Lepisosteus oculatus: one gene and its partners. The protein of the gene in region 1 binds, or shares a complex with, the protein of each later gene. Links are inferred from orthologs where the notes say so. Each region holds a gene or a part of one and is shown in the gene's direction. Other genes may lie near its edges. The genes, in order: fnip1, lamtor1 and lamtor3.

Region 1 (10,335 bases):
TGATTGTTATGATTTTTTGTATTTTTGTGGATTTATTTTGTAATCCACAACAATGAAATGACTCCCATTATTAAAGACTTATGAAGGTCTGTAGAGGTTAAGATTTAAATTAATTATATGGAACCTAATTTTGAGCTGTTTTCTAATTGTATCATGGCTGTCATTAATTTTGCATTAATTCGTTTTTCCATAAATTTTAACAAATCGGAAAAATAAGAATACAGCATAAAATGTAAGAACATTGTAGAAATTTTACTTAATAAATGTTTATGTCTAATCTGTATTTACATTGCTTCCTTACTCATTGTTTTTCATTTTATTACTGGATGGGTGATTATTAATTCAAAATGGATTATTTACAGTACAGTTATAATATTGTGACTTTCTCATTGCAATGTTTTCCAAGAACTTGGTAAAGAAAAACATCTTAAGTTTGTCCTACTTTACAATTGCCAAGTTTTCAAAGGAATAAAGTTTTTACCTTGATAAACTGTACAAAAACAGAAGAGCAGTGGCTAATTTAAAGTGGCTTCAAGAACTAAAAAAACATTAGATTCACGGCCAGTTGAGATACTGGTGTACAATACTTTCCCACACTACTGTAGTGCTGTTTAATTTCTATGCATCCTTCAATTTTGGGAATATTGAATTTTATTTTTATTTCACCAGACCGATCATTTTGAGATTTTGTTCTGGTTAAAGCAAGGCACAGGATAATATCATAGTATAATAATGAAGGTGCTAATAATTAATTATGGTGATTGTTGTTATCAGAAAGTCTTTCAAGAACTAAGTGAAGCAAAAGATGCCCAGTTGTTTGTAAAGCTAAACAGTACATTGAGATCAGCTAGGGTGATGGTATTTATTCATTTTTAAAAGATATATTTTAAAAACAATAAGGAATACTGTCTTAATGAGATGTGGTTTGTTTAAAACCACTAGACAGGTATAATAATACCCACAATAGTAGGCATAAACTATTTAATGTTCTGGCTGTGTATTTAATTATGCCAACAGTGTGTAGCAGGTCAGCAATACTGATGATTATTGTTTCACTGACCTGCCACTAGAGGTCGTTTAGGCCTCTGTTTTGTTCACCTGTATGATGTATTAATTGAATAATTACTTAACTGGTCAAGGGTAAAAAGCTACAGTTTATTCTTACATGGGTTTAATTTAGACTAAGTTTGGTTATAAAGGGATACACGGTTCTGCTGAGAGTTAGGCCTGTTGTGGTGCTGTTTTTTAACATAAAGTTATAATAATGCTTCACAAATTATTCAGATTGAGCGCTGATAAGTCCACGTAATGCTGTTAATTTTACTTAAATAGTAAGTGACGTCAGACTGTCAACTTTCTGGTACTTCTGTGGGGCTCAGGAAGCCCTGTGTTCTGAAAAATGTTGCATTTGTTTTCAAAAAGGAACAAGTAAAGGTTTATTCCACACTGAAGAGAGTGAGACACCTGAAGAAGGGTCTGCAACCAAAACTTTGTTTCTTTTCTTCGCTTTTCAGCATGGAATAAACCTTTACTTGTTCCTTTGCAGCCTATGCATGCTGACGCAGCTACCTACTTGAACTATTTTTTCAGTTTTCCATCTAACAGTAAAGAAGAAACTAAGAAGGACAGGATGACATTCCCTATGAATCTTTTTACCCTCAGCAGCACCTAAGATGATAAGTACAGTAGCTATTAAGCTTGTCCATATCTCATCTTAATATGTATTCAATCAGTTTATGCATACTAATTCAGTTATAATGCGCACTCTAACACCCTAAAATATGGCCTTATGGTCACTTATGGCTCATTTCAGCTTTATGTCTCCATTCTAAGTTTAATTCTGTATATCCTTCTGTCTGAAATAATTAAACCAGTTCTTACTTTCAAACCGAGGACTTAGTCAAACAGTTCATAACTATCATTTAAAGATGGTATGTAATGCAATGTGATACAGATTGAAAGATTGTGTACTTGGATTGAAAGATTGTGTGCTTGGATGAAGAAGTTTAAGAAGTCAAGACATTTAAGAACTTTACATCTCCTCAGTGAGTTCCCCTCATCACAGTGAACACTGGTACCGCTATTTCGAGTGCTTGTTAACTGTGCTTTCTTTATAATTACAGAAATGAGCTGTGCTACTCTTCAGATCAGTCAAAGGGTGTTAGCTGTGATTATGAAAGCAAAAAAACACTGCAAGAAATCCTACAAAATTAAGGTTATAGGGAAAGTTGATTGTTGGTTGGTATCTACTGTACAGTACTTCCACACAAATATGGGTCCTATCCAAAACAACACAGGAAGGTATGCTGAACAAGGTGTGACAGAAGAGAGTGGTAAGCCTAAACCAGAGAGAGAGAATACAAGGTTTCCTGAAAGAAAATTAAATCAAGGAAGAGTTTTCCAAAAATCTGCAAAGAAGAATGTAGATCCTCTAGATAGAATGTGAAATCAAGACGTTCTGCAAGAGGTAGGTTGTGTTTTCTTTAGGCCATTATACTGTGAGAACATTACAAGGTGAATGGGATTGGTTGAGTACAGTCTTGAAGGCTGAGACCCACAAGCCCAGGGTCAAGAGTTAAATGTGTATACCTCAGACCAAATCTGGGTACCCCCGGTCCTGGAGGACCTCAGCTCTTAATTTCTTAATTAAACCATTTTTTTATTTGAACAAATTAATCGTTGTTTCCCGATTTTGGATCGGTGGTGATTTAATGAGATCTACAAAATCACAAGCTAGGAACACAAGGGCTATTACGATGATTTGGGTTTCTAGTAGGTCGCATGGGACTTCAGACACTTTCTCAAAAGGCAATGCTCTCTCATCATCTGGGGTCTTCTGTCCTTTTCCCTCAGGAAAACTGCAATAAAACAAAACTGGAGTAGAAGAATAAGGCAACTCATTAAGAAAACGAGTTGTGGTTGACTTTTCACATCTTTACCAAATGTTGGATGCCGTTGATGTTGATTAAATAATGCCTGGAGATCACATTGTTTGCTATATTTGTTAAGTACAGATCCAGGTAGAACAGACAGACAAAAACACCTCACATCGCAGACTACAGGGCTCAAATGTTTCTTGCCAAAACGTACAGAAGAGTTGTCTTTCTTTTTTTCTGAGGAAGAGCAGCAGCACTATTGCCGGTATAAACATTTTCATGATGTATGAGTGTTGTCTGGAATGAGCTCTTACTTTGAAATACTCAAATCATTGAGCTGAGAACACAGATGATGCTCCCTGGAGGCTGAAGCCAAGCCAAAGAGCTGAGAATCTCCTCAAGGGACAAGTCCAGGAGAACATAACTGTGGTGTAGGTGCTGTGGGGCCATTTCCAAATTGGAGCATATAAAAAGAATGAATTAATTAACTATGACTTTTGCTTTTCTCATTTGTTTTCACATTTCTCTAGTTCCCACATGGTGCTGGGGCAGAAACTTCACTTTCAGTTGAGCTGGTGACAAAGAAGGTGCAAGAGACAAAATGTATGGGAACAAATGAGGACAGTTAGATGTACAGTTTGAGTGTTATTTTTAGCAAGTATTTTGGAAATAACATTGCATAACCGTTTTAATATTTTTTATATTATTCAGTGAATGAAAAGATAAATTGTGCCTGAATAAGAAGGCAGGTTAATCAGATTCCTCTACTTCAAACAAAGGCTTGAAAGCTTATTTTAGGAAAACTTTGTGTATATAGAAATAACATGTACATTTGAAAAGAATAAAAATGTTTCGACTGTAATTTGTTTTGCTATTCGAATAATACTAAATTTGTTTCTGTGGACACATTTTCATGTAAAAAACTCGTAGATATTAATTAAAAAAGGATTTTTTTATTGTTATACATTTTGTACATCTATACTTTTTATATTGAGATTAAAACTGAGATTAAACAAAACTGTCTTCAATTTCGCACACTTTGCAAATCATACACCACTGTCTGGTGTTGAATGCGGATGAGCTAAATGATAGTCTTTCTGTGTTTCGGTAGAGGGCAGTGTTGCCTTTAATGAGGATCATTTTCTTTAAAGGTGTTAAGAACTACCTGCGCATGGTAAACATTTTGTGTTGAAGTTATGAGATGGAAATTGGTCACTAGTGTTAAGTGAACACTTAAAGAACTTTTTCAGCTAAGCATCATGCTTGGGTGTATATTTTATTGTAACCAGTGAAGAGCAAGATGCACAGATGTGCTGAGTTTTATTAACCTAAGAGCCAACAGATTTCATGTAGCAGCAGGATGTCATATTCATCTGAATTATAAAGTGAACAAGCACTGACTGACTAGAAAATCGAATAGAATAGAATTTCAATCAGATGTTTAAAATGGATCCATCACCTAAAATTAATGTAATCTTTTTGAACTTCTATAAAGAGGAAACGTTTATTTGAACAGGATTTCGGACTTTGACTGTTGCTTTTGTATACATAAATCTGAACACAGTTCATCCATTCATCCAGCAACAGGCACAAGAAAGGATATGCCCTGCACAACACTCCAGTCCATTGAAGGGCACACAAACTCTCACCTACAGTAGGGCCAATTCTCCCAGAAGCCACTCAACCTAGCAGAAAGGTTTTGAGCTGTGGGAGGAAATTAGAGCACATAAAAGAAACCCATGCAAACATGATGAGAACATACAAACTCCACACAGACAGTACCCCAGGTCAGGCATTAAACCCAGACTCCCAGCACTGCATGAGAGCAATGCTAACCATTGCACCACCATGCTGCCAGAATGCAGTCTCGTGCAATCTTATTATTCCAATGTTAGGTCATTTTATAAAGAAGTGGTCACTCAAATTTCAAGATGTTACTAACTTTGCTTGTGTAGTTTTAGCTGAAAATGACTAAAGAAAGTCATAGGTTTTTCTACCTTGCTTTTCTTATTTTAAGTATTTATCTACAGTACTGATGTGCAACAAGCTCTGCATTTACAGTACTCCTCTACAGATGTAAGAGAAAATAGATTGATACAATGACATTTGAAGACTCATTTTGTGTAATGGCTATCTTTTTTAGCGTGATTTTTGTTCTGAATTTACTTATTTTAAATATGCCTTTTCTAGTGAGTTATCACACCTGTTTAATGAAAACAATTTCGTTGTATAAAGCTTTTTATTTAGCAAATGTAATTGATTGAAATATGCTATAAAGGTATTTCCCCCAAACCATTACATTAGATTTGTCTAATTTTAAATAAGATTAGTTTCAACATTTTTTTCCTGTTACGTAATGAACCTATAGCAATGCTTGGTATTATTTAATTAAGGAAAGTGCATTCTGTAGTAAAAGACTCATGCATTCAATGTATCACCTTAAGATGTAAATTGAAACGTCGTATATTTAAGTTTAACGTGTGGTTTTGATAATTTCTGTACAGTTCTGTAAATGTTTCCTAGCCACACGCCAAAATATCAACACAGCAATTCTGTCGACCACGTGGTGCTCTGCCAAAAATAACAGCCAATCGCGTAATTGAAAACCATGAAGGTGCAGTATTGTCCAATCAGAAAAATCGAGTTGTGTTTCCTAGCAGCTTGTGTGACTAATGCCTGTCATATGACTCTGACACAAATGGAGTTAGTTTCAAGGAACTAGGTGTGCTTGTGGATTGATAAGAAAGAGAATTTTTGTACCAAAGTATTTGGTACAAAATGCCTCCTACGCTTTTTCAAAAACTTTTTAATAAAAGAAATGCCTTTTCGCCTCCTCCGAAGTGTGCAAAAGACGAGCAGACATTCAGGTACGTGACATAACAAATGGTCTTGGTTTTAATACCGTGCCATGGTATGGCTTCTGTTTGTATCAAGATAACGTAAGTTTCAACGTGGTTGCTCTTTGTTTTTGACAACATCGTGATTATGATTGCAAAAAGAAGAATAGAGCCGTATGTTTTTTGGACTCTTTTGTTTCTGGGTTACGCATTCGCTACATTAAAATATGGAATGTGAGATTTTTACAGAATTCAAGTTTACTTTTTGGGGTGTTGACATTTGTTTGGGTAAGGTGGTGCATAGAGTCGGAATGACGAACTGGGATGCAGCCTGTTCGGGGAGCAAGTTATATGATTAAGTACCGTGTTTAAAAACGCTATTAACTATTACAAATCCATTGCAATCGGTCACCCCCCTTACTGTAAACCATTGACGAATGTAAAATTCACTCATCTCTCGAATGACGACAGGGCGTCTGACTCAATTATATACAGTATACCGCAACAAAAAACGCGTGGGTTTGTGTGAGGTCAGTAAAGCTAAAATTCATATCCTCCCCTCTCACACCCTATTAATATTAAAGATTTGATGTTTTAGAACACCATTTATAGTCGGCACTGCTTGCATGTATTTATTGTACAGTATATAGGCTGTGCATTGTATTTATTTGAGATATTCTTACAGTCCAGAACTGTGCTGTGCAGTATGTCTGATACATATTTTGTAAGTATAGCTTATCATGCTCTTAAAATTGCATTGAGTGAAAAGTACAGTATATGATGCATGCAAGTGTTCACCGCAGTCGTACAGTACTTTAAAAAGATTGGTATGAAAAGGGTAGAACAGATTATGGGTCTTTCACAACTTTTCTGGGTTGAAGACCACTGTCTGAGAAGCCCCTCTCAGGAAAGTCCCCCAATTTAAATAATCTGAATTCTACAATAATTATCGGTAATATAGCATTGGATATTAAAACCAAAAATGCATGTCTTCGTGAGGGACCTTTTAGTTAAAATAGACACGTACAGTATGTGACAGGATTCCTGCGCGTTGCAGAGTGAAACTTTTTCGTTTTGCTGTATCATGAATCACAAGACACATTTCCTAACACGACCGCTATCTATTGCAAAAATGAAAACTGTCATTTTTTTGAGGTTATATTTCTTTTTGTTAGGTATTGCTTTGTGTTACAAATTAAAACATTTTCTTAAGATTTTTTTTAGGAGAATGCATTTTTTCTAGTCCCCTGCTTTGTTAGGACAATATACTGATTATGTTAATATTTGTAGAAGATATGCACTGAGAGAAGTAATATTAGGTCCAGTTGTGTTCATGTGGTTACTGGTATCTTATTGATCTGAGATAAATTAAGTTTTTCATTGAATGATCCCATAGAATTTTCATCACTATTCATAGTTGATATTTTAATCTTGCTGGAGTGCTCTTTTGTTCACATTTTTATTAAGAAGAAAATAGATTCTCGTATTTGTCATGGGGTTCTACAATGTGCCAGAATAGTGTCTCTGGCTGTTTAATGAAGAAGGATCAAATAAAACTTGATTTTGTTGAGGTTTTTTGTTTTATCCAAGTCTTTGGGCCATACCTCTGCATTCATCAGTATTTGTGTTATTTTGTATGAAATTAAATATTATTTTTAGGTTTGTTTTGATATCTTCAATTGAAGTAGGATGTTTGTTTTATCCTTTTTTAATGAAAGGGAGGCTTAATAAATTGAGCTGTGAGACCTTATGTTCATGAGATTTGATATACTCTTTTTTTAGGCATTTTAATAGGGACATTCCTAGAGAATTGATAATCTTTAATTGGAATCCTCTCACATATTCTCTAGAAGTCTGTGCAATTGAACTTGAAAGCGTAAATTAGCAAATTCCATATTAAAGATGCCTTACACCTAACCATACAGAAAAATATGCAGCATTTTTACTTAAAAACAGGATTGGAATCACAACTGCATTCATTCAGTACCTCTTCTGATGTATTTATGACATCATTGAGTTCCCAGTGGTTTCACAGACCTTAATTATCACTAATCCTGGACTACCTGATGTTAATTTGGCTAGCGAGTCCAGGGTTTTCACAAATTAGGGTCTGCAAAATGAGTCCGTAATGCACAACACATCTCTGTGGCCTTGCACATCAGGTCATTCCACATTTCTTTTGTGGGTGATGATTTTATAATGCGTATTAGAATCTGATCAGTACAAAAGTGACTAATGAACTTTGTGATTATGTAATCTAGTTGTGTAGTAGGACGAGGTCACATCTGAGGAAAGAGTAAACTCCAGAAAGTTTTCTCTTTTAAAGGAGGGGGTTTCATTGATTTTGGCTCCTATTTTTTGTCACTAATGGTGGACACTTAACTAAAGTCTTTCATAATATAAACTGAACTATGTGCCAGCATGCTGTGTGTGCTAATCACAAGCACATGGAATGGGCCCTTTATAAATACACTTCACCTTTCTGCTGCGGTCAATTATAGGTAAAAATGCTATAAATTATAGCTATAAAAATGCTTTACCTGCATTAATGTACGTCACTCAGTCTGGGTTAGAATCCATTCCTGACCTTTGGGCTTGACCGAATTTTTTATTCCTGAAACTAAAGTTTCATTCAGTCAAACATAAATGATCAAGTAAGTGTTTAAATATCTTTAATATTGTTGTTGTTTCTATATCTTAATTCTATATTATCTGAGATTCTGTAAGAAATCTGGAATGCTTCTGCTTCATGGCGCATGTAAAAAAGAATTGTAACTTTTAAGTGGGGGGTTGGTTTTTCACATTTTTTACAAAGCTAAAGGATTTGAAAAAATGGTGTTGGCTGTTAGGGATTTGTAACAGTAGTGAAACTTAAAAATCTTAGTCTCACAGCTTGTGAATGGTATGTTGTCAGAAGGGGCAGTCCCTTAAATTTGAAATAAAAATCCTTTCTTCATTTTTCTGTTAGAATCAGCTCTATGAATTTTTTAGCTAAAATAAGCGCATCCTAAAATGTGACTCACTTCAATTCCTGTAATAAGGGCGGTCTGGTCTCCATATTAGTCTTTCAGTTTTTTTTCTTACAGGAAGTTCTGCATGTGAACATTAATTCACAATGAACTTAAGTTTCTTAAGAGACCATGAGCACATAAATGTCACTGTAGCAAAGTGAATAATTATTAGTACCCCACCCTAGATTATCACTGATACAGCTGCATGTTGTTTCTTTGGGGAAAATCAACTTTATGAAGGCCCCAGATTTTCAGGAGAGTCGGAGCTAGAAGCCAAATCTGTAATTTGCGATTGAAGACAAAGTCGTTTGGTTTAATTTGAGTATAATATAAATAATTTTACAGACATAAACAATAAACATTTGTGTCAAATGATAAGCTGTAGCTCTATAGTCTGTTAAGCAACTACCCTAATAAAAAAGTGAAAAACATTTTTAAACAGAAGTTTATTTTTTGAATAGATTACTCATATTTTATCCTCTTAAGCTCTTAGAGCACACAGTGATGAAAGGGTTGTCCTCATGAATACCGGGGAGGTCAAACAATTGGCTGACCTACTGAATTTAAACCAAAACACGCATGTTATGTATTTATACCCATGATAACCCAGGTCACAAATTATTCCCATCCAGCTGAGTGCTGTGTTTCCCAAACCATTGCAAAAGGCTCTGTAAAGTTGGGGCTACCAGCACTTTTGAATGCCTCACTGGAAATTAGCCCATTCATAGCATCAGAAACTCCACCCTTAAATCTTAATACAATGCAAACAAAATCTGGTAAAAGTTCATCTCGGTGAGAGCTGTCAGTGGGGCCTTTTTAAATTTGTTTCGGCTGAGTGTCTGTTGTGGTGCACTCTTGGGTTTATTTTGCAAGTTTGAATGCCAGCATCAGAAAATGCCCTTTCCTTTGCCTTACTAATAAATGATTCTCATTTACATGTCGAGTTAGTAAAGTATACTGAAAGAATAGTTATTTGTCTTGTCTTTATTGCCTTTCATATCGTGATAAAATATATAGTACCTGAAATTAGGGAAAGGACCGGTTTTGATTTTGTTTTGTAATTTTGAGCTTTTCTTTGTTCTACAAAACAATGTTAAAAAGAGATTATAAGGTTGATAAGAGGCTTCCCTTATTGCTAACCTTAAGAATAATCTGAATAATTTTGATAAAGGAGAGTATGAATTTAAACATATATTATATAGCCTACCATAAGTATTTCTTTGGATTCGTTACTGTAGCAGTGGTGTGACTGCGATGTAGCTCATCAGACTAATGGTTACCATTAAGTCAGCTTGTCATCATGTTCCAGTTTGAGCTATTTTGAATAGCTTCGAGACTTCTCGGAACTGTGGAATCATGATACACTTGACCTAAAAACATGATTTTTCTGCATTTTCCTTATTTTTTTCTTCTGTATAAGCTTTTCGCACCAAATACTGTACAATGCAATGTGAAAGCTTTTTATTTTATACTGTTGCTGTTGATACTTTTTGATATCCTGTTGATTTTGAGGCTTTTGATCATTTTTATCTTTTATGTGCCTCACAAGTTTAATTAAAATAATATTTACTATGTTTTCAAACAGTTCAAGTCTTGGAATTCATGACATTC
Region 2 (10,500 bases), on another chromosome or scaffold:
TCAATGTCAGGGCGAAATGGTTTGAGAGGTGTTGTTTTCGTTGTAAAAATCATCACGTAGCAGTACTTATACATTATAACTTGTTATATGTTTTTTGGTGATTTTATCCTTGATAAATCAATAAACAAGGAGTCTTACTGTGTCGTCATCAAAGCCGGCCAATCGGATGACCTTCTCGGCCACAGCGGCGTTGCGCTCGTCCATCTCTACTGTGTAGAGTCGGGCACCGAGAGGCAGCGAGCGGGCGATGCGCACGGCTCCGTACCCGCAGTGTGTGCCCAGCTCCAGCACAATCAGAGGGGCATTTTCTAATATCAGCCTGTCCAGGAGTCTGCCTGTAATCACAGGATTTACAAACCACACAGATGGAAACAATCAAAGAAGTCATCTTTGTATGCGATTAGTGTACCAATTTATTACTACGATATAATATAACAACAGTATATTTTTCTTGCTGATTCTCTGTACTATTTTTTTCATTATAAGACTAATCTACCCATAATTCTGTGAACTTACCCCTTTCTACGTGCGATGATACATGTTATGTGAATTTCGTAGAACGTTTTAATGCGCATTTTATAACTATCCAGATAGTATAACAGAAGTTGCAAATGCGAATTTCTGTATTTCAAATCTATTTGAAACTGTATTTTCAGTCTTATTGACCAATATCAGTAACAACAGAGAGTTTGTAAAAAAGTCGTTATCTCAAATGCGATGCGAGAAAAATAGTCAACAATTATCCCCTGACCCGTCCAGCCTACGTACAGTACCAGGAAGAAAACACCATGCACAGTTAAAGGGGGGTTGTATGTAGTAATAGACACCTTTCTTGGGTCCGATGTTGCTGATGTACTCCACCTTCCTACACCAGTGATCGAAAGCCTCGAGGATGCTGTCTGGGTCTCCCGGAGTGACGTGCGTGAGCACATACTGGAACGCCCGCTCCTCCCTGGACAGGCCGCTCAGGCAGTCCTGTATGAAGCGCACCAACACCGCCCGGTAGAACAGCACGAAGTAGTAGCGGTAGCGGATCACCAGCGTCAACAGAAAAGGTAGGAACGCCAGTGCGATCGCTGGGGACACCATGATAGAGGCTGACCTAAAATAATCACAAAACAAATTTGAGATACAAGTCCCAGTTGGCTGTAGGGGTCTTTTTTTCTTTTCAGCACCCCCAAAGGTTCATAAAACCCGTACCCACAAGCGCTATTCAAATGTTTCGTCAGCCAGAGCCACGTTCTTTTGACTGAGGATTTATCGCACTTCTGAGGGAGTCATGCCTTACAAGAATAGATAAAAAAAAAACAACAGATGCACCACTATCGATTTATACACCTTAAAAATAATACCATACATTGTACTTGTGGTCTACAGTATACACCACAGAAACATACATTTGTTGATTTTGTACAGAGCCTCAAAAGAAGCTTCAAGCAAACCAGTAGCACCTTACATTTATGTACTCAGTTTCATCACAGCTAGATGTTGCAGGTCTTTTATCCCAGGTCAGTTTGTCATACAATCCTGAGTGTGGGAACAGTTCCCCTCACAGCGATGCTTAGTGCAGAGCATGTGAACTAATCACAGTAAAGACCCCAGACCACAAACAGCGGAAGCACACTTGAATATCAGAACACTGGTAATGCAGTTCAGACCAACCTGTTTCGAGAAGATATTGGATGAAGACTCTAGGGCTGGGGGAAACGCAGCTCTGTGTTGAGCTTCGGGCCTTAAATGCAAGACAGGTAAAATTGGCCGAGTCACCGCTGTTAAGAGGAGGTGTGTGAATTATTGATGCGACCCCAAGCTGATCCAGTAATTCGCAGAGAGAAAGAGGTGCGGGATCCTCAAGGATAGGGTTACCTGCCCCGCTTATCGCAGCAACACGTCGACAGGAATTCTCCAGAACGCATCACAAGTTCACCCCCGGGAGGCTTGGTAATGTGACCTTTGTTCAAAGATCACAAAGCCTTTGTTTCAAGCAATTTTTAATGGGAAAAAAAACACATTACTAAAAAAAAACCAGGAAAATACAACATCCCCATCAACGTGTTTTTTGGTTTGAAGTCCTTCGATTTGATGGAGGTTTATTTTTGTTATACAACCATTTAGAAATTCTAAAACCTCGGCAATTACTGTACTGTCCAACAATTTACTATATTTGTGTTTGGACACTTGGATTTAGGTAACATTGATCTAAAAATGTTACTGGGTATTGTAAAGGGTGGTACGATATTTGTTAGGCTTGAAAAAAATTGAAAAGTCATTTAATGTAGACTCAATTTAATGCCCCCTCCCACAACCACCACCTACATATGAAATATTTTCCATTTCATTTACAGTAATAAAACAACATGCAACAAAAAACACAACAATCATAGGAAAAGCTATTGCTTAACAATGCTGATGTTTATTTATTATTTTGTAAAAATGCTTTCTGAAAATGACACAACGTATGCACCAATGCTGTCATTTATATAAATAATTCAATGTTTTCTGATATAGTAATTAAATTGTTAATGGCTAGTTACATACAACACCTTCAGTTAAATTCCCCATTGTATTGCCCTTAAGAGACCCAAAGGTACATGGCTGATGCAGAAAAGCATTTTTAAACATTGGAATCTCTTTCCTGAGTGAGGGAAACGTTTTCCATATTTGATATTAAAGGTATTTAATGTAACCAGACCTTTGTCATTTATACTGTGGTGTTTCTGTACCCCTGAGAACTTTTCTGTTATACTGGACAGGGAGGTTATATCTTCTATTAATATTCACCACCCCTATTTTCCCCATTAAATACACACGTAAAGATCCATCCACTCAGCAGCGGAGCTTCTGCAGTCCCCTGAGGAATTTCCTCAGCTCCTTGTCAGAGCTTTGCCACAGCAGCAGCTTGGAGAGAACCAGTCTACCTCTCTGTCTGCTCCCCAGGGCCAGAATGATGCCAGAGGAGGGACCATCCAGTTCCTCACAGGCGCACCTGCTGCCCTCTGGCAGCCAGAGGGCGCTCCGAGCCATCGACTCCTCCTCAGCGCGGTCACCTTGTCTCAGCACCACCCGGCTTCTGCCGTTAGGAACAATCTTCCGGTCAGCCCCCAGCAACTGTGTCTCTTTGACCCTTAGTCGCACGACTGTATAGAAATCCAGACAAATAAAGCAGAAAAGTGTAAATTTAATAGTCTTTATGTGGAAATGCAGGTAAAAATAAGGGTATTTTTTGAGATGGTAGCCTTACTCCTACATATTTTCTTTAAAAGCTGATATTTTAAATATCTGATATTGATATTGTTTAAATACAACTACCATCCAGTTGGATTTAAATTAGAATTTACTTTAAATCAGTGTTTTCTGAAGCAATCGGCATGTTTATATGCTGGGTGGATTGATTTAATCTCACGAATTAAACACAAATATAACATACCAGGAGCACATAGAATTCAAACACATGCACCATACGAGGAGCGTACAAAATTTGGATTAGGAAAGGTACTCCAGCACATGCTCTGATCATCCACTTTTTATTGAACTCACCAAAATCGCTTTTGCAGTAATTCTCCAGAATCTCTTTCCCACCTTCTGGCAAACTGCACGCCTCGCATATCAATGTCCCTGTGCGAAGGAAAAAGGAATCTTAATTTATTTTCAAGGAAAAATCTTTTTAGAAACATATTCGTAGTTGAGTCGTCTTTAAAACGTGCACATGAAAGAAAAGCAAAGATAGCAGCAACTCACCGGCAAACATTCGGAGGGTGGTAAGCATTTCAAGTGAACAACGTTTAAGTATTTTATTTCGAATTTGTGTTTCTATTTAGTGGTAGATTAATATCAGACAATGTTTCGAGGTTCCCACCTCTGCCTCATAGAAAGTAGATGTCATGTTACGGGGAAGAAAATTGTTATAGACAGTATTAACTACTCTGCCATCAAACACGACCAGCCGAGAAGTGGCACAACCATTGAAGTCTAATGCAAAACCTCTTAACAACCACGTATCGTTTTGCGCGTTTCATAACACGCTCCCTAGAATCGAATCTCTTGCTTTCCACTTTAAATTTATGCGCTTTCAGATTTTTTTAAATCAATAATAATACATTGATTTTATATGGCGCCTCTAAAGGTAAATTCGCAAAGCGCGCTGTGTCTTTTCGATGACAGACTTTTAAAAATAGTATTTGAAACCAACACAATCAATGACAGGTGAATTCCAACAAACCGTCCATATCGTTGCTGTGGGGCCCCGGGTTGCCGTTGTCGCTGGACGGAGAAGCCGTGGGCGGGATGCAGACCTCGGCGCCGGTCGGGAACTGGCTGCAGTTGAGGATCTCAGGCCAGGGAAACCCGAAAGCGCTCATGACAGGCAGGCAGCCGTCCCGGACTCCCTCGCACAGGCTCCTGCACGGCCGGACGGGCCGCTCCAGCTCTCGTAAACAGACGGGGGCGAAGAGGGAACAGAGGAACTTCTTGGTGTCGCGGTGACACTGTTTGGAGAGCAGCGGCACCCAGGAGCCGGCCTGCTGCTGCGCTTCCTTGATGGTTTCGTGGCCCAGCAGGTTGGGAAGGCGCATCTCTCTGTAGCCTACGTCGTGGCACAGACCCATCGTGTTAGGAATGGGTTTGCAGACCTGGCGCTTGGCGCTGAATCCAGTGGGGGCGAACTGTAGCGAAGGGTCAGCTGCACAGACGCGCCAGGATGTGAGCAGTATCCAAACTTGAAACGGAATGGATACCGCCATCATGACGTTCGTACTTTTGAGTACTAAAAAGCCTTTAAATCAGGTTTCTTAACCCCACAATCAGTCTTCGGTGTAGTTAATTGACGTTATTCACTTATTCAAACTGATGCTTAAGAGGCATTTCGGCATCCAGTCTCTTGTTTCAAGATTAAATATTGACATTCACCATACTTGCCAGAAAGATAAGCTGGGTTCTCCCTCCATTAGCTGCAAGTACGAATACGAGTCGCCAAGTACAGTCCCCCGTCTTCGCAGAGCTTGAGAAAGAGTGTTTCTCTGGTGTTCTGCTAGGAGATAAATGCCATGACTGATCTGTAATTCACCTAAATTAAAGAGGGAAATGGTCGAGACACATCCTGTCAAACTGGTTTTTAAACCAGGCATTGTGTAATGCCATCTGTAATACCATCCGGGAAATGTGTTTATTGAGGGTTATAAAATTGAGACCTGTTATTTAACTACAGTGCTTTGAGGACGTGTTGGAAGTGCCAGCTTTAGTAATTTACACTTATTTTCAAATTCTTTGCAATCAACATTTTTTTAGTTATGTTTAATTAAAACCATACGTAATAACAACAAAAACGGTACAAAACACAGCAACAAAGATGTCAGTAGTTGTACTATCACAATCTACCCCCACTGTTATTCTTGCACGGAGCTGGCGGACAAGACGGTCAATTTTCAGTTCCTGTATCACGTGTTGAGGGTGTTTTGGTTTCTCCCAACTCCGCTTCACGTCAGCCGGAAGTCATATGTTATTGCTACAGAGCTGTTGTCATGTGACTACAAGCCTGGGGTTTGGAGAGAGGGGAAGATCGGAAGGAACAGAAGAGAAGGGGGTTGCTGGTTTTCGTCTTCCCAAGCCTGCACACCGGAATTTCTTTCTTTCTTTAATTAGTTTACCGGGAAGAAAAGCTGGAGATTGCATTCGGTTCGCCTGGCAGAGAGCCGAGAGCCCCCAGAGGATACCATGGGTTGCTGTTATAGCAGCGAGACGGAGGCCACTGATCAGGTGCTGTGATCTGTTCTAGTGAAGCAATGGTCGAGGTAGCAGTAACACGCATTCCTAATGTAACATAACCTGGGAGACTGAGAGAGGGAGTATGCGGGACTGGATTGACCCGAAGAGAACATCTCTATTCCTTTAGCTACCGTATAGAAAGAAAATGTTTGTACCAAAAATTGTGAAGACGTAGTGTGTTTAGTAGGGCCTAAAGGGCAAAAGTACTACACGGGCAAACATACTAGGGCTAGAACTTAGTAAAGATGGTTTTCTAAAGTACCCAAATGACAAGGCTACAGGAATGCAGGATTGCATGACCTGAAACGAAAGAATGTGCAGCATGAGATTTATTGATTTCTTATTTTTTTTCTCTAATTTTCAACCTTGGCAAAAAAAAAAACAACAACAACAAACGAATCTGATTCAGCATGACAAAATAACCTCGTCTGTCACATGACTCTGGAACTTTGCAATAATGTGCAAATCACATGACAAACTGTCCCTTGCATGAAATATTTAGTCATGTGGGACAAAAAAAGTGACAGGCGGAACAATTTCAGAGTGCATGCACAATGAGCCAATTGGACACCAGCCTCTACTGTTCCTTTTCCTCAGTGATGTGTCAGGATGTTATTTGATCATGTCTTCTCAGAAAGATATTTGCTTATAGTATAACACTTTGCATTGTTTTTAGTTTTGCATTGTTAAAACTATGGCTTGGATTTTCAATGGTTAAGCATTTTTTATGGCCAAAATACTATAAGCGAATGCCACTATGCAAAAGTGATTTTGGATCCACCTGAGGATTTCATTTGAAACCCATAGCTCAGAGATTAGCTGGAACATGTATCTGGCTGTGCAGTGGGTTGATTTTGTTATTTTACATCCCCGGAGGCCTTTGACCAAATCCAATTAATTGTCCTGAAAGTTATTGAGTTAAGGAAGGTTTAGGAAGCTTCAGCCTAGACTTACATAGTTCACAAAACTCTCACACAACACTACACAATTTGTCACATTTTATACAGGGTACATATTCAAGCCAGGACTATAGTGATTCATTACCACATTTTTTTTTAAATGTAAAAACTCATGTATTGCTTAGCCGTTGTGTTCAGTTTGGCAGACATGGTGAAAATTGTATTTCTTGTCAAAGGTGTAGTTCACAGTGTACTTTTTAAAATATTGTACTGAGATATGGAATATTTTCATCACCTGATTTGCAAGGTATTTCTAAGCTTCAGTCCTGGCAGACAAATAACAGCCCAGGGTTTATATTTAGCAAGCAACCCATCATCTGCTTCTAAATTTGCGATTTTTAAATTGTCCAGCTAAGGCGCTCACTCCCGGTGTTCCCTGCTTGCGTTTGATGAAATGCACCATTGCTGCCTTTCAGGACCGAGATGAGAGGAAACCGCTGATCCCCCATCCCAACCCGGACAATAAACCAACCAACGGAGCAGAGAGGAATTCAGCCAGCCTTCCCTCAGCGCGGACAGATGAGCAGGCCCTCCTCACGTCCATCCTCACCAAGACAGCACTGTAAGTAGATGGTGGAATGGAAGCATCTTATCCACACAGTGAGACTGGCTGCTGTGTGGTAGTCTGAACACACTGAGGGGACAGGGAACTTAGAGGCTCATTCTTGTTTTGCTCTCCAGGAATATAATTGATGTCTCAGCTGCAGACTCCCAGGGAATGGAGCAGCATGAGTACATGGACAAAGCTCGACAATATAGGTAGGTTCAAACTTCCAACTCTCTACTATGTTGCTTGTTCTTAGGACATTTAAAAATATCTTTGCTTCCTTAAAACAAATTCCTGTTCTGGATGATAAACAGGTTCTGCCTGATGAAGTATTAAAGCTAGAATCTTTTGATACAGAATCATAAAAACATCTAAAATGTTTCCTGGAAAATGTATCTCTTCAAAAGTCCAGTGCTTGGTTTCTGTATAACATGATACCTGTCCTGAATTTGCCACTGTCTGTAGCCAGTGGAAGCCATGATCCAGCTAAACCCTGGACTCCAACTTACTCTCCAAAAAAATAAACCAAACTTAAAGTGTTACTGTGGATGATGGCTACCCATGAGTGCAAGACAAGCTCTTTTGAAGATGATATACAAATATTCACAGAAATACAGAGTACTTCAGTTACCACTCGGAGCAATAATTGGGTCCACTTATATTGTATCATTTACACAAGAGTAATAAAGCCCCTTACAATTTGTAGGCACTTAAATTTAATTACTCCGTTTGTTTAGAGGACATAGGTCATATGTCTGTTCATAAGGATTGTTTGGTTGAAAGCATATTGAGTATCTGTCTCTTGATTTATTTGTAACCATAGAGTTAAACTTTATTTACGTATTGCACTTAAGTGCACGATGGAGGGAAATTAACATTTCAGTAAACTCATTTGGCAGCCTTGTTCTGAATAGAATTTGGATTAAGGCCACTAACTGACACACTAAACAGATAACAGTAACTCCAGCTACTCCTTGAGCAGTTGACTTCAACTGAACTCCTCAGATGGCCTGAATATCAAATTTGTCATAGTCGAAATTTACTAATGGCCTTCTAGCTGTTAGAAATGCTTAGCTTGTGAAGATTATAGATGAGGTTTAGCATGATCTTCGTAATGGAATGCAAGCGACAGTCTTGTTAAAACGCCAATTAATCCAGTGATGTGCTGGATCGTTTTTTCTTTGAAAGAAGGTAATACGTTTTGTGGAAATTCTAATGATAACTTCTGCTGCTTATGTTTTAGTACAAGGCTGGTAGGCCTCAGTAACACACTGTCACAGAAGAAACCTGCACCTCTGCCCTCACTAACTAGCCAGCCCCATCAGGTGCTTGCAAGTGATCCTGTGCCATACTCGGACATACAACAGGTAAACAATCCTGCTTTTTATAGCTTGATAATATTCACAATCATTGCTAAATATGCCACAACCTGCCACTATATGTTAATATGTATATTAGGCCTTGTGCTTTCAGAGTAGGCTCCAGGTTGTTGCAAACCTTTCCAGAAATAAGTGACTTTATGATGGATAGACGGTTTTAGACATTCATATAAATGCAAAACATTCCTGTTTGTTTTGTGAATAAGTTAGATTTTGATTTTAATAATGACTTGTTTTTTTTTTTCCAGGTTTCAAAGGTAGCGGCATATGCATACAGTGCAATTTCACAGATAAAAGTTGACGCAAAAGAGGAACTGGTGGTGCAGTTTGCTATTCCCTGAGCGCCTGAGGATAGATTTCTGTCCTTGGTCTACTCCGATTTCTTTCTTTATCTCCCTTATGTTTCTAACTACACCCTCCATCTCTCTCTGTCCAAGACATCAGCGGTGCTACTGTAGAGCATCAACAGCTGATCGACTTGGAAACCGAACTTTCGTACTATAGGTCAACTCGTACCGAACAGGAACTTCTAAAGTGTGTGTAGGAATCTCTTTTGTGACCTGTGGAGGAATTTCAGATCCATGCTGTTCTCAGTGTATTAGTAAGATGGCGCTAAAACTATGGCTTGGATTTTCATTGGTTAAGCATTTTTTATGGCTAGAACACCATAAGTGAATGCCACTATGAAAACAAAAATGATATTGGGTCCACCTGAGGATTTCTTTTGAAACCCATAGCTCAGAGATTAACTGGAACACGTATCTGGTTGTGCAGTGGGTTGATTTTGTTAATTTACATCTCTGGAGGCCAGTGACCAAATCCAGTTTATTGTCCTGAAATGTCTTGGGTTTGGGAAACCTCAGCCTAGACTTATGTAGTCCACAAAACTCTCACACAACACTACACAGTTTGTCACATTTTATAGCCTCTGGTATGCAAACAATTTAAGAACGGTACAATCAGGCCAGGACCATAGAGATTCATTACCACGTTTTTTTTAAATGTACAAACTCACATAGTGCTTAACCCTTCTTGTCATTGAGATTTGCTGTTGCTATATTTTCTCTTGCAATTAACCAGCACTTAAAATTCACGGGCACGCAATTTAAGAAAGGAAAAAAAAAAGAAGCTGATGAGTTTAAACAATATTTAGTTTGTCAGTGCCTTTAATGTACAGATTTTGTAATGCATGGAGGCAAGGAATAATGGTGTGATTGAGGTTTGTATGGTTAGTTGGTGTTGCAATCATGTCGGTTAATCACTAATGACTTTTCTTGAGAAAGTGGAAGTTATGAAAATGAAAGCCAACAAAAGATTCAAGCCCTAGTTTTTATTAACAGAAGACATTTTATTAATCTGAGGTTCATTAATTTTTTAAAAAAAGAAACAGGAATTGAGGGAATGTGGAGACTGGTCCTCATCCATTTACCTAGTGTTGAAAAGTCAATGGCTGCTGTACTTTCAAACAGTTTTAATGTCAAGATACTTAAAAATACAAGAGTATTTTTTTTCTTTTTAATGTATTTATGGTCACTTTATATTTTCTTTTCTGGTGCGAGCAGATCTCTAGTGCAAAGACAGGCACTTTTTGGGTTTTAAAGGGATGAACCTTAGGGCTGTAAAACATGAACAGACATCTTATTTTTGGCTTTTTGCAGCGTGCTAATAGTATTTTTTTTACTTAAATGTATTACTACCTGAATTACATTGTTTGTTTCTTAGGCTAGTACCAAAACAGCATTCATTAATAATGGATTCTGTTAATACCATTTTTTGTTGTTTATTGAAATTATGCATTAAAAATATTTGAAATACCTGATAATGTTGAATGTTGTTTTTTTATGCAAACATTCAG
Region 3 (10,014 bases), on another chromosome or scaffold:
ATATATGGAAGAAATACTTCATCCTTTTGTAAGACCAGCGGTCTTCATATTTCATATAATGTCAAAGCTAAGTGTAACTGTATTTTTTTGTTCCCAACCAAGCAAATACCTTTTTAAAAGAAAGCACCTAATTCATAAAGATTTTTATAAAAGGTGACATTCCTTCATTTTGTAACTCAATCTCTTAACATGTAATATTTACATTTCTACAACCGGGTCTGCCAAATTAATTATTTTGCTAGTTATCTTCAAAATAATAAACAGCGACTGTGTACATCTCAGTAAACCCTACACAGAATAATATTTAGGTCTACAGTCAACGATAAAGTTTCTTTACCAACAACATATTCTGGAGGTCCAAAATCTTGTCTGTTGAAGCCTCCTCGGCCACCACCTCGAAATCCTCCCCCACCGCCCCGGCCCCCAAAACCTCCTCGTCCACCTCGATTAAACCCCCCTCCTCTGCCGCCTCGGCCACCTCCTCCACGGAAAGACATTGCTAGAAGAAAACAGACAACAGTTCATGAGGAGTAAGGACTTTCTCCCACTGGCCTTTTGGTCAGTGTTGTATCTGCAACACAAAAAAACGTATTTTGCTCAAATATAAACAGCAGACGTCCAAAGAGCTGGGATGTATCCTGGTTTCTGTAGTATTGAAGGATACATCAGTAGTTAAGGAACAAAAGCTACAATCAAAACCGTACAGTCTCACATTTGCATACAGCAACATCGACATGATACATAAGTGTTATAATTATTCATCAGAGCATCATTTTTTATTTATTCAAAGCATGACAAGACATTTATTATATTATTTATGACATTCGGGCACTTAGATCATTTACTTACATTACTATACTAAACAGACCCACTTACTGCCATTTGAGCAACTCACAAAACATTTCTGATCCTCCTGTTTTGCACAAGAAAAAAAAAATTAAAGTGAAATTTAAGCCCTGGCCTCCTAAACGTCGACTGCAAAATGCAGTGTTCCATTAAGTTAAAAGAGTTTTGTGTTTTTTTAGAATGTGTGACCTAGATTTCGTGATCCCACCTTGGTTGACCATCTTGGCTCTTAAACGTTACTCCAACAATTAAATGCTTCAACAGGTAAAAGCATATTTTACCTCAATTTCCAATTGAGAACTACCAATTGTGAATAACTAGGAATGAGACAAACTTCCCTAAAACCTGTCTCTCTGCAGAGCAATCTGACGCAATGTGGTCTGCCTTATCCTACCGAAGAGTTAAAACTCATTAAAATCAAGGAGTTACTTTCTGCTTGAAAACCGAGACCGAGTTGATCAATTAATCCTAATCCTCCCCTGGAAGTGCTCAATCACCAATTCCACAATTATGTGAATCTTTCTTTTCTAAAGTTCCTTGTGGGAACGTCTTCTAACACTATTGAAAACAAAAACGGTTAATTAAATTTTAAAAACCTACAGCTATACTCCACCAGATTAGGGTATGATGCATAAGAGTATTAATAATATTCTTAATTAGTATAAAAAGTATAACATTAATTCATATTATGATGTGTCATTGAGAAAGTGGGCTGATAAGACAGCATTTTGGGTAAAACCAAATTACAACAGAATAAGATACAAAAAAAAACCCGTCTGATACTAGCTTGCTCGGCAAATTGAAACTTCATTGAAATGATTAATCTGACACAGTTTGACCAGCTTTTTGTAACAACCTCATATCCTGACTGCAGTTTTTTTTTATATAAATGGGTACTAGTACCAGAATTGACTTTCACTTAATAATACATAAATGAAAGAAAACAGTACTACTCCCTTTTAGCTCAACTACTGTTCATGCTTCGCATGAATTTTGGATTCGCGGGGGAAAAAAATTAGAATCGGGTGAGATCGCAACAAAACTTACACTTTAGCTTTCAGTGGACAAAGCACATGTTCCAAAATGGTAATGAATAAGATGGAGCCACTTTATTATGCCACACTGAACTGAAGTGCGTTGCTCATTGAAATTAATCGACATTACTTTTTTCACGACGTTCACTTTGAAACCATGCATAAATATCTCCTTTAATTTAGGGGGAAGTGATGAAGACAAAAATGCCGATTAACTCTTAATATGTGATTGAACCAAAGCATACAATTATTTATGTAGAAATTAACGTAGGTATGAATTGTGAAGTAATTAAACTATAACCAAACTGTTCAGTTTTAGGTACTCCCCAAAGCAAACTGACTCATAAAATAGTTTGGAAAACTTCCTGGACTTTAACTAGACTATAAAGCATGACCCAATAAAAAATCATAAGCACATCTTAAAAAAAAAACATTTACCTCACCTTTATCTGAAATACCGCCTGCTCCCAAAATGCCCAATATGTTCTTTACACCACCACGCCGCGCTGATTTCCTACAACCACACGTGGCCTTTACCGTAAGTCAGTTGTAACCACAAGGATTCACACTGTCGTAAAATGCTTGTAATGCAAATAATCAGGAAATCCTATTTTGATGATCAAGCTCATAGTCACAGATACTGGAATCATTACAGCGTATTTGTCAAAACCTTAATCCTCAGTTGTTTATCTTTAGTTATAAACTAGATGTTCTTTTCATGTAACTCATAAGTATTTCACTTCTAATGATCTCTGTGATTTGCTGTACCGCTACTTGTAAAGCGCCCTGAGTGGAGTTTCCAGGAAAGCACTAAATAAGTGTGTAAGCAATTATTATTATTATTATTATTATTATTATTATTATTATTAAAAGGGTAACTGCAGGTAACAATGCTGGTTTAGTTGAGACCTTTATAACCATGTTTCCTGTTTCTTTTGTTTTTATATGTGAGGTGTACTGTAAAATTCCCATTTTATTTAATTCAGTATACTTTATAAATGTAGAAAAAACTAAAACAAGAATGCTCACATTTATGGGGAGGCACGGTACGATAGGAAACTCTTTACGTTTGTGACAGCGGAAGCTGTCAATTGTTGAAAGGTCAATTGTTAAAATACTTCCGTTTCTGTGTAAATATCATGTGATTTATTTCATTTTCTACAAACCTTCCGTAAAAATCTAGCAGAAGCAGGTAATATCGTCTTATTTTGCATTATAAGTCCAATTAGAGTATTCTGCCTTTGAACAGGTTATCGTATTTTTTTTCTTTTTTAAAAGGAATCATAGACACATTGTCTTTTCGTTTCCTTTTTATTTGGTTCAGCCGCTGAGGTCTCAGTTTGAAATTAATTTGTAGTAGAAATTAAAAGTAGGAGATAGGTCATCTAGCTTAAAAAGGTGACATATAGTGCCTCTAAATTATCCTATACATTTATCTTGACACTGATTTTGATAAAACGTTTATTCCTATTTCTTTATTAATTAAGTGTACGTTTAATTAACATTATACATAATTAATAATAATTAAACGTAAATGTTAATGCTCGTTGTCTTTGACATTAGAAGGAGAAGTGCTATCTATTTTTTCGTTCGGTCCATTCTGAAGCCCTAAATATTTTCTACCTCCTTCTCCAATAATATCAGACATTAATTTACTACTCATAAATTATAATATTTTTATTTTAAAATAATACTTATTTGACAGAGGTATTCCCAATAAATATAATATATAGTCTTATTTATTCTGGCCACTGGAACTAGTGGCAATTAAGTTGTTTTAATCTACAGTATCAGAAACATTCACACTTCCGTCTAAAAATTATATTATTTGCTGAAAGACGATTTAGTTTGAACGAGTGTTAAATTTGATGTTGGTGTCAAATGTAACTAAACTATCACATTTGAAACATTAAGAGATGTAGATTACTGTTATTTAGATTTGCAGTTTTATACATTTACAGTTTTATACATTTCCTTTAATAAAACAGAGTTTCATGCAAAAAAACTGGAGTTAGAAACATTTCTTGAAAAAAGTATGACACTTTCCAGTCCTTGCTCTTGTCCTTTCATCACAACATCTGATTTTAGTTGTTTTACTTTCTAGGTTTTTAACTTCTAATAAAAACACAGAAAATGGCAGATGTAAGTATTTACTGTATAAATTGTCTAAAAAATGTTGTATGTTAATGTTAGCAAACTGCAGATCTTTTTTTTTTTCCGTTGCTGCAGGATGTTAATTGAGAGAAGACAAACCGTTACCAGTGAATGTTGGAAAACAAATCTGATACTAATGGATACATATTTTCAATTTCCACTGTTGCATGAATCTTATCATTATGTTTTTCATGCAGTTCCTAACTTTGGGTGTAGGAACTGTAAGTGCATACAGTTGTATACAAATTGTAGCCTGAACAATTACTGTGTAACTTAAGTTGGGTTTAAAATATAACACATATTAGGACAGTTTGAAATACAGCAAAAACAAATATTTCTAAAATCATTGCAAATTGTCCTAAATATACAATATTAAAAACTATTCACCCTACAGCAATTAATATTTCTTTCATTTGCCTTTGGTGCTGATAATAATAAAAAATCACTTCCTGTAACCTTTTAATTTGTTCTGACAATATTTAAGTTAGATTTCTTACTGTTCTTCCATGCAGAACTTCTCCATCTCCCCCAAATTATGCTTCCTGCTCTAGCAAAATGCTTTATGTAGTACATTCTGTAGTACATTTCATAAATATTCTGCTGTCTAGTCATATGGAGGTCGTGTTGGTCAATCAAAAGCGGGATTAACACTAGATAAGGAGGTGTGATTTGGGAGCTCTTCAGTAAATAGGTGAAAAGTTCATTTACAGTTTTTATTTTTAGACAGAAGAATTACAACATTATGTCTTGATCTTATCAGATTTCAGAAGCTAAGCAGGTCAGTGCTGTTAAGGGTGATGTCCAGAGAAATTCAGGTTGCTGTTGTAAGTTGGTGTTGTTGGTAGAAACAGTAGGTGGCACTCTTCCCTTTTTTTTCCAAATCCTGTTCTAATGCCCCAGTATACTCCATTTCTCCAATACTCCATAAGAACAATGTAATTTTCATTGTGAAGCACTGTGGGTATTGCACTTCAGTGGTAATTCAAACAGGTGCTTATCTATATGTAGAAAACTTTGGGATAAAAAATTACTCAAATGAAAGGAAGAAATTGCTGTATTACTCAGACTTCATCAAGATCACTTCTAGAATCTCTTTCCACATTTCAGCTTTGAGACACTTCCAGGTGACCACAAAGCAATGCAATATTACATTTCTGGCCATCATCTTTAACAAGTGTTCATATTTTCATTTATTTATGTATATGGAATGTACCCTTTCAGTATTTTTAAACCAGCTTTGTTACATTGTGTGAAGGGTATAAAAGTGCTGTCTGTAACCACAAACCTTCTCATAATGGGAATGCACTAGTAAACAGCAGATCCCTCCAACAGCTATATCTGATTGTTTTTCACAGGAGCTGAAGAGGTATCTGTATAAGCAGTTGCCAAGGTTTGAAAACTTTAATTTGTTTTTTGCTATAGAGAAATCTATATTTAAGATATATCTAAAAGATATTTAAGAATCACTAGTGATGAAAGAGTGGTACAACATAAATGTTAGGTGCATTTTCTATGCAGTAGGGTCTCAATATTTGTGAGGGTTTGGCGCAGAGAAAATAGCAGAATTGCCATATAAGCAAGACCACCTTTATACTGTTATATAGTGCACTATTGCATATAGTATGTATGGTTAACAGACATGTGTTATCCCTCCCCTTATATGATGATTAAAGTACTAATGCAGTAGCGTTAAGTTAATTAAAATAACTAACACAATTGTAATCACAAAAATTGTAGAGATCAGTTAGCTTAATTTCTCCTCTATGTTCAGCAGATACCTGCACTTTTTTCTCTCTGCTTGATTGATGACCCACTGTAATGAAAAAGGCAGCTCTCAGTGAGCCTGTAAGGTCATCTCCAGCCTGTCAATCCCCACACCATAAATTCAACCAAGATATACTTAATAAAATATTACCAAGATGTTACTATAAAAAAACAAGGTGAGATGTGGATGTTGGGTAGTGGGTACTTGGGCAGGGGGAAGAGAAACACTCTCACAATCCTTGTCTGTTTTGCAACTAGTTTGAAAGTTGTGCTTAATAACCTCCGCCTCAGTTCTCTTCTTTCGTTACAAGAACTCTACCCCCAGACCAAACTGTGAAGAAGTGAAATTGCAAATGTTATATTCAGAAGTATCTAGACCCTGCCGTACTTTATTGCTTAATCATGGTTAAGCAAAGTGAACTGCAACATGTTTTTAAAATGTTTACACCGTTTTTAGACATTTTGTTTTTGTGGACTGGACTTTAGTTATCTGTTACTACAGACAAACAAAGGATTGTTTCACCCCCCCCCCCCCCTTTTGCCATGAATCAAGCACTAAAATATCAGTTTCCTTTAGAGGTAATAGATAATAGGTTGGAGAGTGTTTCCCAATGTGAAAGAGAAGTAAATACTTGGGTGTCAAAACCTCCTGGAAAATATCTATGACAACAGAAAATTGCCTTGACAAAAACACTAAAAAAATAGCTCATGGTTTATGACGTTTCCCTATAAAAAGGTAAAACTGTGCCAAAATTAATTATAAAGTTCTGGCATTTAAACTTTGGCCTATATGAAAACAGCACTTCCCCTTCCATGTTAAATTACACTAACATTTTCGATTCCTCCAGGAATCAGAAAACAGAGTTTTTAATTAATGGCCTACAAGTAGTTTGATATTGAAGTTAATTCCTTATGAACAAAATGATTCAACCTTTGCTCCTGATCCTTGTGCTTTATGGCAAAATTCTACTTTGATATATGTTGCTAAAGTTTTCCAAGATGTTACATATGATTTCAAGTCAAGTCTATAGTTCTATTGTTCCCGCTTAAATGGTTTAGGTCAAAAGCTTACATCGGTGGCCATATATCATCCTGCAGCTCACAACTGACAACCCACTAAAGCTAAGCAGGTTTGAGCCTGGTCAGTTCCTAGATGAGAGACCTTGTGGGAAAAACAGTAGGAGGTGCTCTCCCTGCAGTTTGTGTGGGTCCTAATGCCCCAGTAGAGTGATGGGGACACTATACTTTAAAAAGGGCTCCATCCTTCAGTTGTGACGTAAAACCAGGGTCCTGACTCTCTGTGGTCATTAAAAATCTTAAGGCAATTCTTGAAAAAAGTAGGGGTGTTACCCCAGCATCCAGATTTCCCCATTGGCCTTTACCAATCATGGCCTCCTAATAATCCCAATCTATGAATTGGGTTCATCAATCTGTTCTCCTCCCTACTGAGAGCGGGTGTGTGGTGAGCATACTGTGCCGCAGTCTATGGCTGCCGTTGCAGGTGGATGCTGCACATTGGTGGTAGTTACCTGTACTTGTAAAGCGCCCTGAGTGGAGTTTCCAGGAAAGCACTAAATAAGTGTGTAAGCAATTATTATTATTATTATTATTATTATTATTATTATTATTATTAAAAGGGTAACTGCAGGTAACAATGCTGGTTTAGTTGAGACCTTTATAAATCATTTAAAATTGCCCTCCATTATGTAAATTTGCATCTGACAACCAGCTCTAGAATTATTTGGGGATTCTGATTCGTAAAGGTATTATCACTGTATATTGATTGGTTTATATAACCATTTCAGGGCAGAGTTGCTGATCATGCACCCCTCTCTACTTCTCCACCAGAAAAAGGAAGAAAACCTCTGATAGGTCTTTGTTCCGTTTAATTGTTAGTATCCTTTGAAATGTTTTTTTTTCTGTGTATCCCTTTCTTCCTCATGAATAAAGACAAATAGTTGAAATGCCTAGCCTGTAGCTGCAGATTAGTCTAGAAAACATCCTTTTGTTAAATGTATTTGTATTCTGTCTTCTAAAATTCTATTTTTTTTAAACAGCGTTGAAGGCCTTCATGCAATTGTAGTGACTGACAGAGATGGAGTACCAGTAATAAAAGGTACATTTATAGAATGAAGAAAGAAACAAGCTAGAAATGTATAAAGCTGCCTTATTATCTTAAATGAAGTAGGTGATGGATTACTATCATTAGTGGTAATCATTTGTTCATTTCAGATTTAATTCACTCCTATATTGCCGCATATTGCATTAAGCATGTTATTACTTCAGGTCAAATGTTCTCTCTGCCCTTATCATGATATAGAACATTAATGAGTACAGTCATAATGTATTTTCTTAAAAATTAAGTAGTTCATCACAGAAGTCAATGAAATGTAATACTGATGATTTTGTTCTTCTTAGAGACCATTCTACACTAATTTGTAATTTTCGTAAACATTTAAGATTCACCTATTTTACAGTGCAGATAGTTAATCACATGCATTTCAGATATTCAGTGTGCTCTGTCATGTTTGTATTAAAAATGCAGCCAAAATCTTAATGAAATTGACATTTCAGCTGTATTAAATATGCATAACCTCATGTCTGAGTCACAGATTTACATATAACAATTTTGCATAGTATGTGAGCTTCACACAATTCTTGTTCAATTAATAATCAAGTGCAAAGTTAAGTAACTAATAATGTGTGAATATGTAAAGAATTGTAAATGATTTTTTAGCTGCCTAAGAATTTAAATCACATTGAAAAGTATGTGATTTTTTTATCCTGTTTTCTTTATGTATTCTTACAGTGTAGTTTGGGGTGTATAAATGTGCTAGTTGTATGATACTTATAGTGTGTGTATAAGGTATACTTCATGCTTTCAAATAATTGAGCAAAATTAATTCAGAATAATGATTAAATATGATTTGATACATTTAAAAAATGCTTTAGTTTGATGTTGCATGTGTGGAAATGCATATTTAAAAATTGTTGTACAGAGTAATAAATAATTAGGACCAATGCCACATCTGACAGCATTCTTACTGGTATTTGATAGATTTTGACAGTTGTGATTTTCTTTTCACAGTTGCAAATGACAATGCTCCTGAATATGCTCTCAGACCGGGGTTTCTGTCCACATTTGCATTGGCAACTGACCAAGGCAGCAAGTTGGGACTTTCCAAAAACAAGAGCATCATCTGCTACTATAACACATACCAGGTGATATTGATATTGGTGATCTTTTTCTTTGATGGCACTTAAAGCAGAAGACTGTAACCTGATTCACCGATACAAGTTGATATATCAAAAGGGGACAGAGTGGACTTAAACATATACATAAGATAAACATTACAGGCAAATTACTAAATCAGTTGTAGTATCACCTGGTCATTTTAAGTGGTGTATTTTGTTTCAGAATCTGTCAGCAGAAAAGGGAAAATGAGCTAGCAATGGAGGCCCGATATAATAATACCAATTTCTGGTAGTATTTTGGTTTGAATAAGGTCAAAAGAATGTTTCTCTCCCCTTTGTATAATAAAATATGATGTGATACACTTTATCCCCAGTTGGGAGTTTATGTTGCTAACAGTTCATAGACATAAAAAAATAATTACTCCAAAAACAGACATATAACAAAGTACATTATATTCATTATAATCACTAAAGGCTCTCATTATTCAGTGATAAAGAAACCTAATTTCAAGAAAAAGCTCTTGAATTAAAGCTTATGAACATAAGAAGAATTATATGAGGGGGTATTTGTGGCATCACTGGGTAGTGACATAAAAGTACTAATTCTGGTACTGGCATAGCAATTTAAGTGTGATTTATGATTTATTATTTCTTTTATATATAACATTTATTTTAGACATGTTTTTTTTCTGAAAGACTTATGGAACTGACTTTCAAATAATGTACTTCTGAAAGTTGTTTTGATGTTGTTATATTGAGAGACATTTCCTCACAATTGAGGATACTTTTTTTTCCTTCCTCTTCAATTTGGATATACAGTACTTTTGCCAGCTGTCTGCAACAGTTAGGGAAAACCCCTTCACAATCAGCTTATAATGACCTACCCTGACCCCATCTTTAGTCAGTGGACTCATCAGCTCAGACTGCTTTCTGAAATACATTTACTGATTAAACATCTATAGAGCCCTCATTTTGTAAATGTGATTCCAGATGATTTAATAGAAATTTTGAATTTTCTGAA

The links.
Region 2: fnip1 (region 1) and lamtor1 share a complex: the UniProt entries of both Homo sapiens proteins name them as parts of the lysosomal folliculin complex. The link is inferred for Lepisosteus oculatus from reciprocal best matches to the Homo sapiens genes FNIP1 and LAMTOR1.
Region 3: fnip1 (region 1) and lamtor3 share a complex: the UniProt entries of both Homo sapiens proteins name them as parts of the lysosomal folliculin complex. The link is inferred for Lepisosteus oculatus from reciprocal best matches to the Homo sapiens genes FNIP1 and LAMTOR3.

The regions. Positions count from the first base shown.
Region 1 is NC_090706.1:24,569,148-24,579,482, reverse strand, and holds the start of fnip1 (folliculin-interacting protein 1), read left to right. Parts: upstream 1-5,572; 5' UTR 5,573-5,654; coding exon 5,655-5,743; intron 5,744-10,335. UniProt on the Homo sapiens protein: Binding partner of the GTPase-activating protein FLCN: involved in the cellular response to amino acid availability by regulating the non-canonical mTORC1 signaling cascade controlling the MiT/TFE factors TFEB and TFE3.
Region 2 is NC_090700.1:12,729,060-12,739,559, forward strand, and holds lamtor1 (ragulator complex protein LAMTOR1), read left to right. Parts: upstream 1-5,535; 5' UTR 5,536-5,709; coding exon 5,710-5,751; intron 5,752-7,135; coding exon 7,136-7,281; intron 7,282-7,400; coding exon 7,401-7,478; intron 7,479-8,509; coding exon 8,510-8,633; intron 8,634-8,893; coding exon 8,894-8,986; 3' UTR 8,987-10,467; downstream 10,468-10,500. Other genes in the region: tomt (transmembrane O-methyltransferase homolog), read right to left, coding at 139-335, 828-1,089; sfrp2l (secreted frizzled-related protein 2-like), read right to left, coding at 2,827-3,137, 3,538-3,615, 4,220-4,742. UniProt on the Homo sapiens protein: Key component of the Ragulator complex, a multiprotein complex involved in amino acid sensing and activation of mTORC1, a signaling complex promoting cell growth in response to growth factors, energy levels, and amino acids.
Region 3 is NC_090696.1:56,883,593-56,893,606, reverse strand, and holds the start of lamtor3 (ragulator complex protein LAMTOR3), read left to right. Parts: upstream 1-5,791; 5' UTR 5,792-5,852; coding exon 5,853-5,974; intron 5,975-7,855; coding exon 7,856-7,914; intron 7,915-8,886; coding exon 8,887-9,020; intron 9,021-10,014. Other genes in the region: gar1 (H/ACA ribonucleoprotein complex subunit 1), read right to left, coding at 338-497. UniProt on the Homo sapiens protein: As part of the Ragulator complex it is involved in amino acid sensing and activation of mTORC1, a signaling complex promoting cell growth in response to growth factors, energy levels, and amino acids.